Arabidopsis thaliana: one gene and its partner. The protein of the gene in region 1 interacts with the protein of each later gene in a pairwise test. Each region holds a gene or a part of one and is shown in the gene's direction. Other genes may lie near its edges.

Region 1 (3,758 bases):
TCTGCTAACATATTTAGAACGCTAAATCCTCAACCACGGGAAAATAAAGTTATCGATGCCTTAGACCTGGAGGAGGAAGAACCTTCCATGGATCTTGCGTGGCCTCACTTGCAGCTTGTGTATGAGCTTTTCTTGAGGTTTGTTGCTTCGCCTGAAACTGACACCAAGCTGGCTAAGAGATATATAGATCAATCTTTTGTCTTGCGGTTACTGGATTTATTTGATTCCGAGGATCCTAGAGAAAGAGATTGTCTGAAAACCATTCTCCATCGGATCTATGGTAAATTTATGGTACACCGACCTTTCATCAGGAAATCCATTAACAACATCTTCTATAGGTTTGTTTTCGAAACAGAGAAACATAATGGGATTGCTGAGTTTCTAGAAATCTTGGGAAGTATCATCAATGGATTCGCTCTTCCCTTGAAAGACGAGCACAAAGTGTTTCTTGTTCGAGTTTTGATACCTCTCCACAAACCAAAATGCTTGCAAATGTATCATCAACAATTGTCTTATTGTATCACACAGTTTGTGGAAAAGGATTGCAAACTTGCTGATACGGTTATAAGAGGATTGTTGAAATATTGGCCCGTGACAAACAGTTCCAAAGAAGTCATGTTTCTGAACGAGTTGGAGGAAGTACTCGAAGCAACTCAGCCACCAGAATTTCAACGGTGCATGGTACCACTGTTTCGCCAAATAGCTCGATGTTTGAACAGTCTGCATTTTCAGGTACCTGTCATTCTCCATTCTTTCTGAAATAATAGCACCTCACATTTGTTTTTAAACTGGCGAATTTCCCCGTGCTTTGACATTTCCTGAAAAATGCTCTGTTGCTGTTAGTGTTGGGTTTGACATTTGCAGGCCATATCGTTTCGACATACTTTAACTGCATTAGTGTTTCACCTGTTTATGTTAGCCTATTAGATTGTTATATAAAAAGATCAAATGAAAGAGTTGGGTTTGTGGTAATGAAAGTATCTACGTATAGGACTGTTGTATTGTGTTCTGGATAATATCTGATGCAGTTTCTTAGCTAAATAAGGCTTATGGTTACATACTTTAATTGTGTTAGTGTTTCGCCAGTATATCTGTGTTACCTTACCAGCTTATGAGAAGTCGTTATAGCCTACCAGTTATATCAAACGAGCAAATGGAAGAGTTGATTTTGCGGTATGGAAAGTATCAATGTTTAGGACTGTTATATTCAGCTCTAGGTGTTACTCAAGGCAATTTCTAAGCTAAATTGATATAGTAAGGCTATTGTTAAGTAGAAAGTTACAAAAGAAGAAAAAGTATTGCGTTGAAGGGTATCTGTTTTGGCTAAACAGTGACTGCATACGATCTTTCACGGGAAAAGATCAGTCTAGTAGGTTCAGGATCTTTGTTTCAGTCTATTCATGCTCTGTCTGGTTTTCGCAGGTTGCAGAGAGAGCTTTATTCTTATGGAACAACAATCACATTGAGAATCTGATAATGCAAAACCGTAAAGTCATTCTTCCAATTATATTCCCAGCGTTGGAGAGAAACGCACAGAAACATTGGAACCAAGCTGTTCATAGCTTGACACTAAACGTGCGAAAGATATTTCATGACCTTGACCCTGAGTTATTTAAAGAATGCCTCGCAAAGTTCAAGGAAGATGAATCAAAAGCAGCTGAAACCGAAGCAAAACGTGAAGCCACTTGGAAACGTTTGGAAGAACTCGGAGTGCGAAAGGCTTCATAAAGTTAGAGTTGTAGAGAAGAAAGAGAGAGAAAGAGAGCTTCTGTATCTTCTATTGACATGTTGTTCTTCAGATACATACTTGAGAAGAGAAAAGTTTCATATTGGTCTCTTGGTTTGAAGGAAAAAGGAAACTCAAAGATGTAAGATTGTTCCTGTTTTGATTTCCATTATTTTTATTTCTTGTTTCCTCTTAAATCTTCCTGCTTGTTAAAATGGGTTATTTTTGCTACATTGTATGATCATCACTTGTTCCACTTTCTTGAGACTTGTCTTATTCATTCATCTTCTGCTTTCATGATACCTGCAAATATTGCACTTATAGGATTTGGCCTTTTGTATTTTCAGTTGTATCAGAAAAAAAATCGTATCTTTATAAGCAAAAAAACACCTTTTAAAAAAAGTTTTTTTAAGTTTTCAACAGAAACTCAAAGAGAGAAGACCAAATTGTTGGTTTGAGTATTTTGGGTTTGTGGATTTGGTTACGAACTCCATAAGTCTAGGAGGAACTCTGAAAAGATCTTCATGGAGAGATCGGTTTAGTGGTTGGATTTGAATCTTTTAATGGTTATGACTTCAACTAAAAAAACACTGTCGAGAGATGTTGTTTCTTGTCTTGGTCAGTGAAAATTTTCTCTGGTCTTAGGGTCTTCTCTCAGTCACCATCCTCTCTTTCTATCTCTCTCTCTCTTTACTCTCTAATCTTTATCCATTCTCTCTCTTCTTCTCTATGCCAACGAAGCAATAGCTATGAAAAGCTAAACCCTTTCCTTCTTCTTCTTCTTCTTCTTCTTCTTCGATTGTTTAGATTACTTGGGTTTGACCCAAGTTTGCTTCTTTCTATGATTCATCAATCTAGATCTTGCTATCTGGGTCCAGAAACGATTCACGCGCTTCATTCATGATATAAAGTTACTACCTTTTTTTTATTTTACCTTCTGGGTCATGGTTTTGTCTGCTTTTCGTCTTTTGCTTTTGTCTGGATGATTCATAATCTCTCGAGATCTATTATGTTCACAAGAGTTGTTCTTATGCGTGGTGAGATGATCTTAGGAGTGTTTCACTATCTTTCTTCAATTCGGGTTTTTAGTTTCTGAGATCTGTTTTTGAAGAATCTGATCTGAGTTTGAGGAAGTTTGACTAAATAGATCGAAGAAGATGTTTAAGCAGATACTTGGGAAGCTTCCTAAGAAAACTTCTGCTAAGTTTTGGGATAATGGTGAATCCCAAACTCTAGATAACAACAACAATCAAGGAGGAGGTGATGAAGTTTTAAGCCAGAGAACGTCATCAAATGGAGATACTAGTTTGGATTGTGTTTCTTCTTTTGATGTATTGCCAAGGTTGAGAGATGTTTCCATCTCTGAGAAGCAAGAACTGTTTCTTAAGAAGCTTAGACTATGTTGTCTAGTGTTTGATTTTGTAGCTGAGCCTCAACAGAACTTCAAGGAGAAAGAGATCAAAAGGCAAACACTTCTTGAAGTTGTGGATTATGTTATCTCTTCAGGGAATGGCAAGTTCCCTGAATCAGTTATTCAAGAAGCTACCAAGATGATTTCGGCGAATCTCTTTAGTAATCCTCATCGACAATGGAAGAACAAAACTCCTGAGGCATTGGATTTGGAAGAAGAAGAAGGATCTTTGAATCCTTCTTGGCCTCACTTGCAGATTGTTTATGAGTTCCTTTTGAGAATCGTTGCATCTCCCAACACAGACCCCAAGATATCCAAGAAATACATCGATCATACATTCGTTCTCAAGCTATTGGATTTGTTTGATTCTGAAGATCCGAGGGAAAGAGAGTATCTGAAAACGATACTTCACCGCATCTACGGGAGGTTTATGGTTCATCGCCCGTTCATCAGGAAAACTATGAACAACATCTTGTATGATTTTATATTCGAGACAGGGAAACACTCGGGAATCGCCGAGTTTCTTGAAGTTTTAGGATCCATCATCAATGGATTCGCTTTACCACTCAAGGAAGAACACAAGCTCTTTCTTACTCGTGTCTTGATTCCTCTGCACAAGCT
Region 2 (3,682 bases), on another chromosome or scaffold:
AATCAAAAACGATGAAGCTGCTGCAGAAGACGAACAAGATGCTATGCAGATCTGAGGATCCACCTCTGTTTGCCTTATTTATCATGTTTCGTGGTGATATGTATGATTAGGATGTTGAACTCGGATTTATGTTTTTTTTTTTTTAAGTTGTGACGAGATTCGGTTCTAGAAAATGATTTAACCAAGTTCAATACAGATCGGTTTGGTACAAATTTGATTTTGTTTGGATTTGGTCAACTTATTTCGGTTCGGTTAGACTAGACTGTAGGAGATGGTTTTACTAAATTAGTCTGGCCCGTTAAGACTTTATATGGGCTTTAAGCCCAATATTGACGAGTATAGTGAATCTCTCTCTTATCATTAAATACATGTAAGCGTGTGTTGTTCGCAAAATTTGACACGCATGCAAGTCTCTACCATCAGAGTAAATTAATTACGAGTGTTCTCTTACCAGACTTCATCGGTTTTTGGTGGCGTGTTTTGGTGTAACGAATTTATTTTGCTTGGTCGGGTCAATTTCAACTTATTTAGTGAAATATTATCTAAATTTATGAATAAACGTGTGTCCTTGAATTTCTTGAATAAAGATTTCAAAACAAACGGCTTTGTAGAACAAGAGTTAATGATAGAAGGCCAAACAAATTGTTCCAAACTCATGGATTGAATTAATCTAATTTACACATCGCTTGCAAGTAATTAGAAAAAACAAACATCACACGCTGGTGAATCCAACCAAAAATATGCATTATAAAAAGTCGAACAAATCTATTGACAGTAAAGAGTCGCAGTGTCTTTAGGTACTCTGCCATTGTGACATCTGATTCAACTCGTCATGGGTCCCATACTACATTTTATCATTCTCACTGTTACCGTAACTCTGAATCAACAGCTTCCTTTGGAACAGCCTTTATTTGTAATAGTACTTTTTATTCTTCGAAACAATCGGATTGTGATATGATGCGGATTGTGATATGATGAAAAAAACAAAAAAACAATCGGATTGTGATAAGAAATATGTGAATGAATATTCAAATAAATCAAATCCATAAAGATTTTGTTATCAACTACACTTTAGTTCAAATAACATGTAAAATTGGACATAGTTTTACGTGTTGCTCGGATATCATTTCAGAGATTCGTATCACACATTGAAGCCATAAAAACAGCAATCAATCCATACATAAAACAAATTACATAAAGTTAAAAAAAAAAAAAAAAAAAAAAAACTTTGATCATATTGAAAATATTTCTTAATTATTTATTATTTCCCCTTTAATTAGTTATCAAATCATCAATATATTACTTTCTAAATGAAAATTGTTGAATAGTATTAGTAAAAGATGGTTATTGATTAAATTTTACAGTCTAGTTTGGTTTTTAATTAGATACCATAACCTCTAGTCAACTTAATAATTCAAGAGAATGAAACATGTTGTTAATTAATTCATTGGTTGCGATATGCAAGATCCTTAATAACATTTATTAATTTCATATAAAATTCAAATGTCATTATCATTATACATCAGAAATAAAATAAATAGATCTACCACTCCCAACCTCTTTATTTATTCGTCTCATTGCTTAATCTCTTGTGTCGACATCTTAATTTACAAATTCTATCTTTCTGTTATTTTCTTCTTCTTCTTCCTCTTTTTATTTTCTAAATTTATTTGTTTGTGTTTAATCCTTTTTATCGATCTCAAGCGACCTCTTTGTCAAACCTGACAATCCCAAATGATGAAGAATTCTGACGTCGCTATTTATTAAAACCAAAACAATCTCTTCTTATATACTTTAGTTTCAGACAGGAACCCAACAAAAAAATCAAAACTCTTTTCTCTTTTCTTTTTTTTTGCAAAAAAAATAAAAATGGGGAATTGTCAAGCGGCCGAAGCAGCGACGGTTTTGATTCATCACCCGGCGGAGAACAAGGTGGAGAGGATTTACTGGTCAGTGACAGCGAGTGACATCATGAAATCCAATCCTGGTCATTACGTTGCGGTGGTGGTGACGTCACCTACGATGAAGAACGAGAAAGGTTTGCCACTGAAGCAGCTTAAACTCCTTCGTCCTGACGACACTTTACTCATCGGACATGTCTATCGTCTCGTCAGCTTCGAAGGTATATATATATACACTCTTAACTCCATTTCTCTGTTTCTGATAAATAAAATGATCTATAAAGCTGTTGACAATTTTATATCATGCAGAGGTTTTGAACGAGTTTGCGACGAAGAAATGTGTGAAGCTTGGCAAGTTATTGAAAGAAGGAGGAGGGCTTGACTTGACGAAGAAGAAGACGAAACACAGGAAGAAGAAGCTGGATCAGGAAACGGGCAAAGTCAACCCGAATTCGGATCCGAATCCGAACCAAGATGGCGCTGATAATGCGGTAAGTGCATGTTAATACTCTCATCGTCCAATTTTTTCTTTTTAACATTTAAAATGGATCCTTAATTTTAGTTCTAGTTGTGACATGATGAATAAGATATTTATAGATGACTGTCCTGGTCACATTACTCTGATCGCTTTATCCTTTTATCATTTATGTACGAATGCTTAATTTAATTCGACCGATCTTATAGGTCGCCGGAGAAAACGGGGGAGATGGGTTTATGAGGAGGAGCCACGGTGGAGGAAGAGGTGGTGGTGGGTGGAGGCCAGCTTTACACAGCATTCCGGAATTTGGATCCTCATGAGAGCTCTTGATCAAAAGCGTAGATATTCTTAAAGCAACTATCATCCGACAACATTGAAAGTTTTATGTAAAGCGATGTTACTGTTTTCTGTGGCTTTAATGAGATTTCAGTCTTCGACAAATGTTTTCAAGAACTCTAATCGTTTTTAACCTATTAGATACAAATATAAGGCACATCCACAATACGAATTTCTTCGAATTTTCGCATCCAAATGCAAAACGAAATAGTTGGTTGAAGTATAATTTTCAGGTATGCATAATTTATTTATCAACCGATAATTGAATTAGGCTCATCTTTAATGGAAATTTAAAGTGGAAAAAAGAAAGAAAAAGAATTAGGCCCATTCAAACTTCATGTTTTGTGACATGATTACTTCCAACTAATTGTATATTTGTTTCAATCCAACACTGTTTTTTCCTGCTTAAATGTTGTCTCATGTATGTACCGGACCTACTGATTGTATAACCGGATTTTTTTTGTTTGCAGATTCAAGATTCCACAAATCATTTCTTTCCTTAAACAATGTATGTAATAATGAAAAGTGTAAACCGACAGTTCGTATACGTTTGGATATCGTTGTTTGTGTTGGACCTAATTGGATTTTTACGTCATACCGTATTATCCAATCATAACGTTTCATGTGAGGATGTTAGAATTAAACAACCAGTCAAGAGTCAACTAACTTGAGCGAGTTTTAAGGCAATGGTAATAACTGGATAAACTATAGTTTTACATTTTAATTTGTAAGAAATGTAAATGTAGTATGCTTTTAAAATATGGTTGGCAGATCATTTGGTCGGCCTTTTTTGTCAATCATAGTTACGCAGTCAATAATTCAATTAATCACTAATGCATCATTCCATTTTGTTCAGTTAAGTCGACGTAACGTAATTAACGGCTCAATCATTTTCAGTCTCTTCAATAGTCCACCATTAATCATCCAAGCAACCATATTTTCTAAGCATCACGCATTGGACGTAAAA

What was found. The genes of interacting proteins can lie anywhere in the genome.
Region 2: the proteins of ATB' DELTA (region 1) and AT5G67620 interact in a two-hybrid assay, tested with the Arabidopsis thaliana proteins (one large-scale study listed by BioGRID).

The regions. Positions count from the first base shown.
Region 1 is NC_003074.8:9,514,858-9,518,615, forward strand, and holds the start of ATB' DELTA (serine/threonine protein phosphatase 2A 55 kDa regulatory subunit B prime delta), read left to right. Parts: upstream 1-2,095; 5' UTR 2,096-2,883; coding exon 2,884-3,758. Other genes in the region: AT3G26020 (Protein phosphatase 2A regulatory B subunit family protein), read left to right, coding at 1-441, 529-732, 865-897, 1,109-1,219, 1,423-1,728. UniProt on the Arabidopsis thaliana protein: The B regulatory subunit may modulate substrate selectivity and catalytic activity, and may also direct the localization of the catalytic enzyme to a particular subcellular compartment.
Region 2 is NC_003076.8:26,963,908-26,967,589, reverse strand, and holds AT5G67620 (DUF4228 domain protein), read left to right. Parts: upstream 1-1,579; 5' UTR 1,580-1,869; coding exon 1,870-2,122; intron 2,123-2,210; coding exon 2,211-2,392; intron 2,393-2,585; coding exon 2,586-2,699; 3' UTR 2,700-3,039; downstream 3,040-3,682. Other genes in the region: AT5G67630 (P-loop containing nucleoside triphosphate hydrolases superfamily protein), read left to right, coding at 1-55.